Linked DNA regions of Schizosaccharomyces pombe. The protein of the gene in region 1 interacts with the protein of each later gene in a pairwise test. Each region holds a gene or a part of one and is shown on either strand. Other genes may lie near its edges.

Evidence for each region. The genes of interacting proteins can lie anywhere in the genome.
Region 2: the proteins of SPOM_SPAC6G10.10C (region 1) and mto2 interact in a two-hybrid assay, tested with the Schizosaccharomyces pombe proteins (one large-scale study listed by BioGRID).
Region 3: the proteins of SPOM_SPAC6G10.10C (region 1) and hrb1 interact in a two-hybrid assay, tested with the Schizosaccharomyces pombe proteins (one large-scale study listed by BioGRID).

Annotation. Positions count from the first base shown.
Region 1 is NC_003424.3:3,235,425-3,239,504, forward strand, and holds SPOM_SPAC6G10.10C (uncharacterized protein), read right to left. Parts: upstream 1,900-4,080; 5' UTR 1,578-1,899; coding exon 993-1,577; 3' UTR 755-992; downstream 1-754. Other genes in the region: glucosidase I Gls1, read left to right, coding at 1-722; ubi3 (ubiquitin-40S ribosomal protein S31 fusion protein), read right to left, coding at 2,486-2,938; DNA-binding transcription factor Ace2, read right to left, coding at 3,942-4,080.
Region 2 is NC_003423.3:492,487-497,047, reverse strand, and holds mto2 (gamma tubulin complex linker Mto2), read right to left. Parts: upstream 2,370-4,561; 5' UTR 2,307-2,369; coding exon 1,113-2,306; 3' UTR 1,037-1,112; exon of another isoform or gene 920-1,036; 3' UTR 625-919; downstream 1-624. Other genes in the region: dual-specificity MAP kinase phosphatase Pmp1, read right to left, coding at 1-235; idh2 (isocitrate dehydrogenase (NAD+) subunit 2), read left to right, coding at 3,393-3,464, 3,568-3,714, 3,762-3,810, 3,965-4,561.
Region 3 is NC_003424.3:3,482,367-3,487,580, reverse strand, and holds hrb1 (RNA-binding and mRNA export factor), read right to left. Parts: upstream 2,926-5,214; 5' UTR 2,904-2,925; coding exon 2,883-2,903; intron 2,854-2,882; exon of another isoform or gene 2,846-2,853; coding exon 2,516-2,845; exon of another isoform or gene 2,341-2,515; coding exon 2,239-2,340; intron 2,200-2,238; coding exon 2,098-2,199; exon of another isoform or gene 2,000-2,097; coding exon 1,607-1,999; intron 1,526-1,606; coding exon 1,079-1,525; 3' UTR 625-1,078; downstream 1-624. Other genes in the region: ubiquitin hydrolase Ubp2, read right to left, coding at 1-256; spg4 (AAA domain-containing protein), read right to left, coding at 3,447-5,214.

The DNA of each region.
Region 1 (4,080 bases):
GTACTTATCAGCATTGTCTGGCAAGCGGACTGGATGACTACCCTAGAGCTCAACCCCCTAGTACTGCTGAGCTTCATGTTGATTTACTCAGCTGGATGACTTCATTTACCAGAAGTTTACATTTTGTCGCTGAGTTTTTAGGCGAAACCGAGGAAGCAGAGAAATTGGCTGGCTATGAAAATGCAATGCTTCGAAACCTCGAAGACAATCATTGGGATGAAGAAGTACAGGCTTACTGTGATTCAAGTGTTGATGAATACGATGATCCTATTAATGTGTGTCATAAAGGATATGTTACTCTACTGCCAATGATGCTTGGTTTGCTTCCTGCTGATAGTGGTAGGCTTACTAGCTTGTTGAAACTTATTAGGGACGAAAATGAGTTGTGGTCTCCTTATGGAATCCGAAGCTTAAGTATGAACGATGTTTACTTTGGAACCGGAGAAAACTACTGGCGAGGCCCTATATGGATTAATATGAATTATCTCATCCTTAGTAGTTTATATCAAAATTACATTAATACCCCTGGTCCCAATCAAAATCTTGCAAGGTCGATTTATGAAGAGCTACGTACTAACGTTGTAAATAATGTTTTTGAGAATTGGCGCCAAACCGGTATTTTCTGGGAACAATACGATCCCACCACTGGTAAGGGTCAACGAACCAAGGACTTTACTGGATGGACCAGTCTAGTTGTTAACATTATGTCTGAAAATTATTGAGAATGATAATTATTGGATTATTTTCTTTATGACTTGTTCATATTTTTAAACTTTCGAGAATAGAAAATGAAAAGTGATTATTTTGTAATGCTCATACTATTAGAAAGGTCATATATAAGCCTAAAAATTTTTTTCGTCGCACGCATTGCGAACTGCGTTTCGTATTTAAGAACAATCATCAAAAAAAACAAAAGGAAATAAACATATTAAACGGGAACTTTTAAGAAATTAAGAGAACACTAGAATTGATCGAATTAATGTACTTTCGTTTCAACTTCCTCCATCATTTGGGGAGTGTTCACGCCTTCTTTCGTAGCGGTCGTCTCTTTTTGAATGATAATTGGTGGTACTATGCCTATGGTGCCTAGATAAATGTGTACGGTAAGGTTCGTGACGACGATGAGAGCCATGTCGATGATTGCTTCGTGTTCTTTCTTTTTCCTTTCTTCTATGGCGGTTAGCCGGAGAAGTTGACCTTGATCGGGAGGTACTATGGGCAATGCTTCTGGAATCTTTTTCAGTATTTGTTGAAGAGCGGTTTGCGGCTTTTGACGACGTTAGTGCGAGAGCAGAAGGCTGCGGAAGACCCAAAGCTTCTGCAAGCATCCTTTGCTCTCTTTCTTTAATCTCTAAAATTTCTTTTTTATACTTTTCTTTATCAGAATTTTCCGAATTTATAGCAGACTGGGTGGTTCTACCTTTAGACCACCACTCCAAATCCTTACCCTCAGCCCAACGACCTGAGGCGGCATAAATAGATTGACCCAAATATCTTCCTTTCTGTTTATCATTTCTCACTTCTTCCCATTGGAATTGGGCTTGACCACCACGTGTACCGGCACCAGACGGACCCATGGTTCGAAATAACTAGTTAATTATTGTAACGATAGACGTTAAGCAAGAAGTAAACGGATTCAGACGAAAAATCGCAAAATGTTTGAATTAAAAACTGCGCTACCAGTGTCTGATTGAATTAACTTAATAATAAAAATAATTGAGTGGTAAATAACTGTTTTTGAAATATTGGGTCGTTTAAATCAAAGTTTTTAAGTTGGGGTGGAATATTGATTTTTTTTTTCTTAACAATAGCTCTAAATTTGATTTCAAAGATTAAATAAATATCAAAATTAACCAGTTTAAACAGACTTTTTTACTCCTAGGTTGTAGTCGCGTCTGCGTGCTATTAAAATGTTAATAATTCGTAGTATATCCAATGAAATAACGATGGTTTAAAATTCGCTAAATGGAAAGCAGATAGTACTAACCAAGGCTTTCAATTCAATGAAGAGCCTTTTTTGTTACTCTCGTTCAAAGATATAGAATATTTTTTTTTTTTTAATATAAAGGCTAATTTTTCGTTTTAACATAGTTGCATGCAAAAGAAATTTATTTAGATATTGGTTGGAATGATTTTTCGACGACCAAAAAGTATTCGCATGCTACTTGTATGTAAAAGTTAGGTTGTATTAATCGTAACGACTACACATGAATTTGAAGAAATCTTCTTTCATTCTCTAATTCTGAAAAAAAGTGAATTGAGCAAAATAGTACTCCACGAGTTGCTAATGTGCTCAGGTACTATTCAAAACGATCACTGAACCAAGTGATGAATCTATACTCATTTTGAACAATTTATAGTCTCATGCATCTACTTATAAAATTATTTTTAAAAGTTTTACAGCTTATTTCAATCTTAATATTCTACAATTACTGCTCATGATGATATGTCTAGACCACAGTAGAAAATACTATTTCATTCAAGTTTAGTTTTCCAACTTAAGAGTCAAATGGCATCTACCACAGTAAAGGCGGTCCTTGTGGTTGGCCATGAAGGTGGACGCACCACAGTTGGGACACTCACGACGAAGACGCTTAACGCTTCCATCATCCTCAACCTTGTAGTATTTGAGGACGGCGAGCTCAACCTTCTTGTGCTTGTGCTTGATCTTCTTGGGAGTAGTGTAAGTCTTCTTTTTACGCTTCTTACCACCACCACGAAGACGCAAAACGAGGTGAAGAGTGGACTCCTTTTGGATGTTATAATCAGACAAAGTACGTCCGTCCTCGAGTTGCTTGCCAGCAAAGATCAAACGTTGTTGATCAGGAGGAATTCCTTCCTTATCTTGGATTTTGCTCTTGACATTGTCAATAGTGTCAGAGGATTCAACCTCAAGGGTAATGGTCTTACCCGTAAGGGTTTTTACAAAGATCTGCATCGTCAGCAAAGTATTGCCTCTTCCTCGCGGATGGAGGAAAATATTGATGTTGCATTGTGATATATGGATGCGTGACTGGTTTTAACTCACGTAGGTTAGGGTGTAACGCAAGTTTCTCGTACTGAGAATTAACGTTTGCGTTAATTATATAACACAATTTAACATTTCTCACAATTTTTAAAATCGTAATGCTGAAATGAAAATCCTGATTCCCTTGTATTAATATCGACAGTTTGTCACTAATTGATGTCAATTATATCCTATTGAATGATTCATATATGGTGATTTAGTGTAGTAAAGGCTTGTAAACCTGTGATTTTGTGTTTGCATAAGCTACGACGAGTTTTCGTATTTTTTGGTTCTTTGCAAATAGAAATGAATTATCTTTTCTCTTGCCGACAAAATTTCCTCCAATGACCAGCAATAATAGTTAAAACAATCATTGGTTTCTCTGTTTAAGTCATAGTGATTAATTTGTTGAATTATTATTATCATAATAAATGCTTGCTTGGCAGCATACTACAACCACTGTTTTCCAATGAAATACTTCGCATACTATAGTAATTAAATACAAGTTTTCCCTAGAAATACCAACTTAAACATATGTTGACTAAACATCGGTGCGAGTGAAAGCAAACACTAATTCTTACTCATGTATCCAAGTTGTTTGTCAGGTTTGGGGAAACTAGTTTTACCATTTCAGCCGTTCAACGATACGAACAACTTCATAGTTGTATTTCCATTTCACAAAGATTAATCTGTAGATTTTAGATGATGCAGAGTTATACACAATACTAGGGTGATGAATAAATATACAAAAGACAGATACAAGTTGATAAATTATCAAAATTGTCACAGCATTAGTTCATGTACGATGCTTGAATTTGAATTTATATAAAAGCAAATTAAAAACAATAATATTAGTAAAATTAAAAAATCCCAAAAAAAAACCAAACATAACTCATTATAATGCAATGCGATGCAAGTTGTACAGCTGTCATCATTAGTGCTGTCTGCGATCTACGCCGCCAACACATATATTTCTCTGCTTATGCCGATTTAAGGCATCAAGTCGGTTAAATCTCTTTAAGCATTCACATACATATGGCCTGCCATTTTCGTGAATCCTCAGATGACGCTTA
Region 2 (4,561 bases), on another chromosome or scaffold:
TGGGCATAGTAGGTTTGGCATATAAGTAAATATTTGGGGGATAGATACAAACAGGGCCATTGGGGTACGGCTGATTAGAATTGGGTTTAGATGCTTTCGGGAAAGATGGAGGGACAGGACACGGAGTAAACAATTGTGAATGACTAGCTTCCTCTTCGTTTTCCAACATATTTTTGTGGGAAACCAGGGGAAGTTGGGAGGTGTAAATTTTTAAGGGAGGTAGTTTTTGAGACATTCTCAAAGGAAGTTTTGATCGAAGCGGTTGTAAGGAAGACTCTTTTCGTTCTATATTTGTTGAGGACTTCAATGCACGTCCTTTCGTTTCAATTTGCTCTTCTGCATTTTCTTTCGCTGATTCAGAATTCATTTTGTGAGTTACCTTCAAACATTCATGGCACCAATAACCATTTCAACTTAGCTTCCTCTATAATATTTAACTTGCAAGAAGATAACTGGAGAATACAAATTTTCAGTGTTCTAATAATTGATGATAGACTGAAAAGATGTATGGAAGTATTGTGAGCTCCTACCAAGCTACAGCATTTGATGCTTTTCTACAGGTGACAGAGGTAACGCATTTTAACAAGTTGGTAAACTTGAATATAGAAAGATACTAAAAGTAAATACAGTAACGAGTTAAATTATCTGATTCATTTTATAAATCAGGTGCGAAATAAAGCTAATTAAACACAATGTACCATTTCGTCTTGCGAAGAAGACATCCACTTCCCAAATCTAAATTATCGTATATGGTTAAATAATGAAAAGATCTGCACTGAATTATCAATTTTAAAAAAATAGCATTGATGAGAAGATGAACAAAACCTCAAATTTTAAGACGTTCTCATACTATAAAGTTTGAGCAAGCAATGCAGCAAATAGAGATGCAGCCAGATCCAATAACATTAAAATAGACGTCCTAGTAGGATTAGCAACTTCTTAAAGAAATGAGCGATATAAAAAAAATAAAAACTTGTACGAGAGGGACGACAAATTAAATGATAGCACTCCTCAATCAATGTTTGTATGAACTTACATGTATGAGAAGAACCTGATTTACTTGATAAACACAAAGAAAAATTGATTCAAAATTAAACTTGTAATAGGCCGAACTAGGGGGAAGGAGTGTCTTGAAGAGAAGGAAAAGACTGTGATGCTGGAGACGCCCTCTGGGGGATAATAGGATGAGCAACTCGCAAAGACGTTGGTGATGGATGCAAGCTCGATTTGTTTGTAGAATTCGAGACATGACGGGTTGATGGATCGCTACGGTACCGGAAATGAGATGCAGCACTATACATTTGAGAAGGAGGAGTAGAATGTGTATGAATTTTTGAATGAAATCGGGAATCATCAGAAAAGAGAGTTGTTCTAACATTATGATGAGAAAGTTCATTTGATTGAAGATCAACTGATGGAAAGGGGTCATTTAAATGCAGAGAAGGCCTACCATAACTATCAGAGGCCATACGTTGTGGTGAAGAATCAACAGAACTGGTATAATTCAATGGTGGTGTATGACGGACAAGATCTAAAGAGTTTGAGCTTTCCTGTTGACTCAAAATAGATGCATCGATCGCTTCTTGCACCAAGCCAAGACACAATTCGGCAAGGCTTCGGCATAACGCATCCACCACACTCGATGGAGAGGTGTTTACCAAGGTGATTGCATGGTTTACAGCTTGCTCTACGGGCTTTAAAATGATGGGCGAAGGATGATAAGTGCGAAGCCGCATAAGAGCCGTTTGCATCGTGCTTAGCGGCGCCGGTGAGTGAGGTGAATGAGTAGAGGGTAAAAGAGAAGGGTAACTGTTAGGAGAACGATATGGACTAAGATTGTTATGATAGCCTAAGTAGGAAGAGGGTCGCTCACTGAGTTGAAGCTCTACTTGATTTAAGCGTTCTCGGAGATTTTCAAGCTCCTGAAGCACAAGGTTATTATCTGCAGTCGATACTTTTTCCAAAGACTTTTCAGAAACAAATTTCGCTGCTTTATGCTCCTGTATAGCATTATTAGACTTCATTGAATTCACGTTTGCATCCGCCAAACTCGGCCAAGACGGCGAGTAAAGAGGATTTTCATCTTTTGTAAAAGAGACCCCATTGTCTAAATAATTATTATCGCTATACATGGAATCTTCTAAAGGTTCTGTCATTAAAGATGCGGATCTCATACCAGCGCGCCATGGTGAACCTCTTGGAGTAGATTCGCGCGAATTTGAGGATAATTGATTAGCAGAGGCTTCATAATTAAGAAAAGGATCCTCTGCCACTTCCCTATCAGACTGGTAATTATGTTCAGACATGCGAAACCACCAGCAAGACGCTGGAGGATTAGAATAAACAGTTGCAAGACCAAGCTCGAATTTGCAAGAGATTCTTGCACTCTTGAAAGATAAAGAGTTGAAAGCACGAATTAACGAATAGAGTATGCACTCTGAAAACCTAACTTAACATACTGTCTTATACTATTTAAAAGTAATATTGCAAAACACAGCAACAAGACAGTTCGCTATTAGTTATCATAACGTATTTTAACGGGATCCACGAAGTTTTCCTGAATAAGCTTTTCCCACAGTTCGTTAGGATAACTTGCTAGTTTTTATTAACCGAAGCTTAATTCTAAGCGGCAACTTCGACTGTGCGGGCAAACAGTACGCTTCGTTACATGTCACTATGCTTTTTTAACTATTCCTAAAAAATCTTTAAATGCCTTTAACACACAATAATCGTTATTGTTTTTAGTGAGTGTATGGTTGAGATAGTTTGAAATAGGAACTACGTATTCTAAAATGCTACACTATTTAAGACAAATAGCAAAACATCTTTTTGTTGAATGAATGAATATATTTGGAAGAGTAATTGAGAAAATAAAGCATAATCCGAAAAATTAAAAAAGCACACCTAGTATATGACAACACTAATTTTCCAGTTGAGAACAATACAAAAGTCAAGATATCAATAACACCAGTGTGAAGCTACAAAATTACAATTTTTTTAATTCAAGCAAAACCAATTCGTCGAATTATCCTCTCAATTTAGACAATTACATCTTTAGTTACTGAATATACCTCAAGAACCAAATAGATGTGTTTTTTAAACAACATTAATAATTATGTACTACTGAAATTATCGTTAAAAACTATATAACGCAATAATAGACAATGCAGTAAAAAAGAGCGCTATGTAATAACAATTCCTCATTCCGCTTCGAGGGGCTTTCTAAATGGTTAAACTCCACTCAATTACCCTTGCTTAACTCCACGTTCTATCTCCACAAAATTCGGTAAAGTCAAATTAAGGATGATGCGACGACTCTCGGAATCCTTTGTTTATATCACGGTCCGACATCTTGCACTCTCCATACATGCTACATTAGTTATAAAAAAACAATGTCAATGCTTTCTACTTTACGTACTGCAGGTTCTTTACGGACGTTTTCAAGAAGCGCCTGTTACTCTTTTGTAAGTTGTGAATTGGCTCCTAAGCGATAAATCGCTGGTTTAAGCAGCCTTACTCGTCTTTTCATGATTATTTGATCGATTATATTAACAGAGTTATTTTTAGCAGAGATTTTCTTCAACGAAGGCTGCCGCTGGGACATATGAAGGAGTAAAGAATGCCAACGGGAACTACACAGTAACGATGATTGCTGGCGATGGCATTGGTCCAGAAATTGCTCAGTCTGTAGAACGTATATTTAAGGCTGCAAAGGTTTGTCGAGTCATCCGTCATTTAGTCATTAACGACTTGTATTGTAGGTCCCTATCGAATGGGAACGTGTAAAAGTATATCCTATTTTGAAAAATGGTATGTCAAGTATAAGAGAAGATGGTTGGATTTGTATGCAGTTTGGCCTTTCTTTTATACGTTTTTGTCAGCAATGCTTGTTCCTGCTTGTCAAGTCCTTCCATGTCTCCTCGAGATTATCGCGCACGAAAATCACGTTTACTAATTCGTTTAGGTACTACTACTATTCCTGATGATGCTAAGGAATCTGTTAGGAAAAATAAAGTGGCTTTGAAAGGTCCATTGGCAACCCCAATTGGGAAGGGTCATGTTTCTATGAACCTTACTTTGCGTCGTACTTTCGGCTTGTTTGCCAATGTTCGTCCCTGTGTATCTATTACGGGATACAAAACACCTTATGATAACGTTAATACCGTTTTGATTCGTGAGAACACTGAGGGTGAATACTCAGGCATCGAGCATGAAGTTATACCAGGCGTTGTTCAATCGATTAAATTAATTACTCGCGCAGCATCTGAGCGTGTTATTCGTTATGCATTCCAATATGCTCGCCAAACTGGCAAGAACAACATCACCGTAGTCCACAAGGCTACCATTATGCGCATGGCTGACGGTTTATTTTTGGAATGCGCCAAGGAGCTTGCACCTGAATATCCTGATATCGAGCTTAGGGAGGAAATCTTGGATAACGCCTGCTTGAAGATTGTCACCGATCCTGTCCCTTATAACAACACAGTTATGGTTATGCCCAATTTATACGGTGATATTGTTTCTGATATGTGCGCTGGTTTAATTGGCGGTCTTGGTTTGA
Region 3 (5,214 bases), 250 kb from region 1:
CTTCAATTAATGGCTTCCCCCTGTCTCTTCGGACTTTCACATGTAAGTGTTTGCGAGTTTTTTGACAAACACACCAAAAGTCATTCTCGTCAAATACAGCGGACTCGCCTAAATTTGAATGAAGCTGCCAGTGATATCTTGAGCTATGAGGACTCCAAGGATCATTCCATCCAGCTGATGGACTATCAAAGACGTCTAAATCTTGAATCAACCGATTAGGACTTTTGCCAATTCGCAAGTTCTTTACAGTTGCCATTCCTCTTTATAGTTTGATGTAAATAATTTTAATAAAGAAATTTAAATTTTTTATTATGAAAAATACTTGAAAAAACGTCCAAACGGAAAGAACGTACAGATTGAAGGATTTTTCATGAGTAAAGGACTCGGTAGGTAGACTTCATGCGTATGATGCTTGTCGTCTTACATATGCCAGCCAGGTATGCGACCATCAATTTTATGAATGTGGGGAATAAGATAGAAGTAAATGTTTGTATTTCATTGATAAGGCTACTAAAGAAGGTAAGAAACAATCAACACCTACATTTCGCTATACGAAATTTACCATTATGCTTAAATAAGATTTTTAACCTAAATACACCTTACTTTAAAAATAATGTAGTTAATCAATAAAGATTAAACTTGGTTAACTGGAAGTTAACAGAATGGAAGTCTAAAAATCTAAAATATCATTAAAACCATGAAATGGTTAGCAATTGTAAAAGAAGGAAACTAGGCATCCTGTAAAAAAACAGTAAAGCTAAAATTAAAAAGACTTCAATTAGAAGAACGAGAGACGAATATATATGCCATCAGCATACTTTGGTGTGTCACGGAAAAGAATAAGATCTTAGCAAAAAATTGAAATCAAACAAAAGAGATAAATCTATAAACATGGAAAATAAGAATATTTGGGGATTAGGAATTAAAGCAAAAATTTGAAGAAAAAATAGAGAAAAGCAAACAATATTAGGATAACTGCCTTAGAACATTGCGCATGTCGTCACTGAGCTAGCCATTCACACTACGGAAATGTGCTTAATTGTAAAGAGAAAAGAAGTTCAGATGTATTGGCGAATTTTTAAGAAGGCTCCAAAGAATGTTCAATATTATTTTCGGGTAAAGCTACAGAAATAGGAGCAATAGCGGGCATGTTTGCAACGGGCATTGAAATCGGTAGATAGCCTAAGAAAGAATTTGTAAAAGATTGGGGCGTTAGTGGTGAATTCGTTGTAGGGATATGCATAACAGGTGGTGTATAAGCGACTGAAGGAAGACCCGAGAGCACAGTAGGGACAGCAGGTAGTGGAGTCGCATAGTGAGCGTATGATAATTGCAAGGGTCTCCCGCCATAACGATAACCATTTAATTTTTCAATTGAGGATGCTGCATCATTTTCATTCTCAAATTGAACGACACCGAAACCTTTAGATCGGCCAGTGGGCTCATAGGCGATTCGGGCACGAATGACTGAGCCAATATCTGTGAATAGGTCCAATAAATTGCGATCTGAGGTGGCCCAAGGTAACTATATTCAGTCAGTAATCTCCAAAAAAAACTTAAAATGATGCGGAAAACTAATCCCACAAAAGCGTCCTTATATACATACATTTCCAACGTAAATGCAATCCGAGCAGGGTCCATGGGGATACGCATGATAAACTAAATCCTCGACTTGAGTATTAGCACCTAACATGGGTAGATAGGTGGATGATGTAGTCATTTGCATTTCCGCTGGAAACGTATAGCCATTTCCATGAGTGGAATACGGCTTACTTTTATGATGTGCAAACCGATCTAGGCGAACTTCTAAAGTGCGGCCCATGAAATCAGTGTTATGCAACATTTGAATGGCATGCATGGCTTCTTTCATCGAACTCATGACAACAATCCCAATGCCACGGGATCGGCCTTCTTGGTTCATTTGGATATCAGCTCGGATAACAGAACCAGCTTGTCTAAACAAATCCTTTAAATCTTGCCAGCGAACGTTATACGGTAACTATACTCGTTAGTACCATTTCTTATTTGCAATTCCACAATTCATTAAAATACCAAAGTTCGAGGAAAAGAATATAGAGGATTAGAAATTGAACTTACGTTACCAACAAACAATTGCCTGTCTGGCTCAGAATCTTTGCCATTCGACGACGCGCTAGGCGATACTGAAGAGGAGCCAAATCTTGCATTTTGTTCTCGATCCTTTACGAAGGTTAATAAGCGACATAAAAAAAATCTTACTTCACGGATATAAACAAGACGGCCCATAAATTTTTGGTTGCTCAGAGTTTTAATTGCCGTGCGCGCTTCTTCAGCAGTAGAGTACTCAATTATCGCGCATCCCTGATATATTAGCTAGACTATTCACAATCTGAGTATACGACAAATTTTAGGATAAGCTATAGGCCATAAGTAATCGTTTAAAAGTAACGTTCAATTGGATCGATTCAACGTTACAATTTAAATAGACAATGATTTACTAGTCGCATGAAACCCACCCTCTATGAAGCAAACTTACCTTCGATAATCCATTCGGAAGATTCAAAATCTCACAATTAAGAACATTGCCAACTTGTCCCATAAACTCTTTCAACTCAAACCAACGAACTTGATATGACAAATTACCAACATACACGCGACGCTCTTGTTGAGTGTACTTTTGGCCATTTCCCAAGTGAGGGTCTCTTTCAGTGTGCTCTCCATCAAAATGCAAGCCACGTTTCAATGAATTGCTTCCGTTGACATGTCGCTTCGGAGACTCCGATCTGTCACGATCCATATTGGAAGACGATGAATTCAAGGAACTTGACACATCCAACTTACTACCCATTCCTGAATCAAATTCATTCTATTTGATCAGCTAAATCAATCAATAGTTATCATACCCATTCTATAGGTTTAGGCATCGCAAGAGCATAAGCTGAGTGTGCATCTTCACATAATTAAAGCATCCCAACAACTTGACTTCTATAGTGTAACTGCAATATAATTTCGTAAGTGATATACTGTAAACTCTTAGATTCGCTAAAAGAACAATAGAATAAAAAAACTGTAAACATTTAAATTATAAATATTGACATGTACTGACTAATTAATCATAGTAAGGAGTTTTAGTTGTTTGTAAATGAGTCGTAATAAAAATGGAAACTCAAACAATAACTAGGGTTAGAGATAACCTCAGTTAATATTAAGTGTTTGAAAAATTCAAAGACTGTGCATAAATTGTATCAACAAAAAAGAGACAAACGAATATATTAGGAGTAAACAAAAAGGCTTTTGGTACAGCACCATTATTATCATCATGAATAATTCCTTGAGGCAAAAGTTGTCCTTATTAGTTATAATCATAAGTTTGCACAAGCCATGTATTAAAAGACAATAAATAAATTTTCAACGTGATTACCAAAAAAATCGGTATCAGGCTAGGAATTTTAAATAAGAAGACAGACTCAATGCCCTTGGGATCCGAACTCTTTGTCCCATTCTGAATATCGTTCCAGCCCTTGCAAGTTCACACTAGGCCGGATTACCTTGATACTAGTTTTAAAGTCATCTAAATTAATCGGCCTAATCGACTCCATTTTCGTGAATAGCAAAGACTCACCTAAACTTCGCAAAGGCCCCATAGCTGCGTCTTTTGCCAATGCTGTCAAATCAGAGCCAGAGTAATATTCGGTTGCTTTCACAATAGCCTCAATATCCTCTAAGGAAAGAGAATGCTTCTGATATTTTAAAAGGTTATTTAAATGTAAGCGACGAGTGGTCTCATCAGGGAGGGGAATGTAGGTACGACGGACAAATCGTCTACGAGCAGCATCGTCGATACACCAAGGCAAATTGGTAGCGGCAAGCACTAGAACTCTTGGGTGATCGGCGGTTTGTCGAGATGCAGCTGCTCTTGCAAGCGAAGACCACTGAATTAAGAATTCTGTTTTTATTCTTCTCGATGTTTCATGCTCATTTCCATCACTGCTTCTAGCAGAAAGCAGTGAATCAATTTCGTCAACAAAAATGATGCTTGGAGACAGCTTTTTTGCTAAAGTGAAGAGAGCACGAACAAGTTTTTCGGATTCACCCAAAAACTTGGATGTTAAACTAGAAGCTGAAATAGAAAAAAAGACAGAACGGGATTCAGTAGCAACAGCTCGCGCAAGCATTGTCTTACCAGTTCCTGGAGGCCCAAAAAGAAGCATCCCCCTAGCTGGTTCCCGCAAGCCTTGGAACAAATCTGGACGCAAGAACGGATACACCACTGCCTCTTTTAAAGAGTGCTTAGCAAATTCTAACCCAGAAATATCATCCCAATGAACTTCATCACCCGAAACCACGATTTCTCGAAGTATACTCTTACCAAGCTCTTCGTCGATGTCTGGACATTCACGCAGAATTTGTTCTTGCTTTTCAGAAGTCATTGCAGAGATAGATGTGGATTGAAACTGCTTTTCAATAATCTCTTCTTCGTTTGTGTGGTTGAAAAATTCATCGCCATCAACCGGCGAATCTTTCTCTTCACAGGAAGAAAGCCCCTGTTCGGAAGCTGGATAGAGATCACTCAGAAAAGGGTTGTTCACAGATAAACGTGGCGGTGTAAGGAAATCCAGATCTTGCGCAGTTTCAGTGGAAGCAGATTGAGCTCGTGGAGCTGACTGAGGAGTGGGAGATGGCGATTTTGTAACTGACGAAACAGAAGCGAGAGATGGCGCGACGGTTGCGATTGAGGTAGATGACTTTGATAACTGTTTTGATATAGAAGGTACTTCAGTGGTACGATTAGGGAGATGGGATTGCGTTTTCTTTTTGAAGGGTGAGGAAGAGGAGGAAATAGAAGAGTAAGTTCGGCGGGCAGCTTCAATAACGGCGGAGTTATCGGGAGTTGGACGATGACGCTCAACCTGAAACGATGATCGAGATGCCTGCGCTGCTTCCGATGATATGTATGATGGCGGGAGAGCATGCTTAGGCTTAGATGAATTCAAAGATCCCCAAGCCAATAGAGCTGCTCGATTGGCATTGTTCTGGGTAGAGACTTCAGCTGGAAGTCCAGTCCTAGCAAGCGATTTACTTGGAGGAAGCACTGATTTACTCTTGACACTGGCCTTTTTAGCAGATTTAACAGCGCTATGTGTTTCTAGTTCACCAGCGCCTTTACGCAACGAAGTCCGCGAAGCTGTAGGTGAAGAGGACATAGATGTTCGCGGAATATTAGGTTTTAAGGAT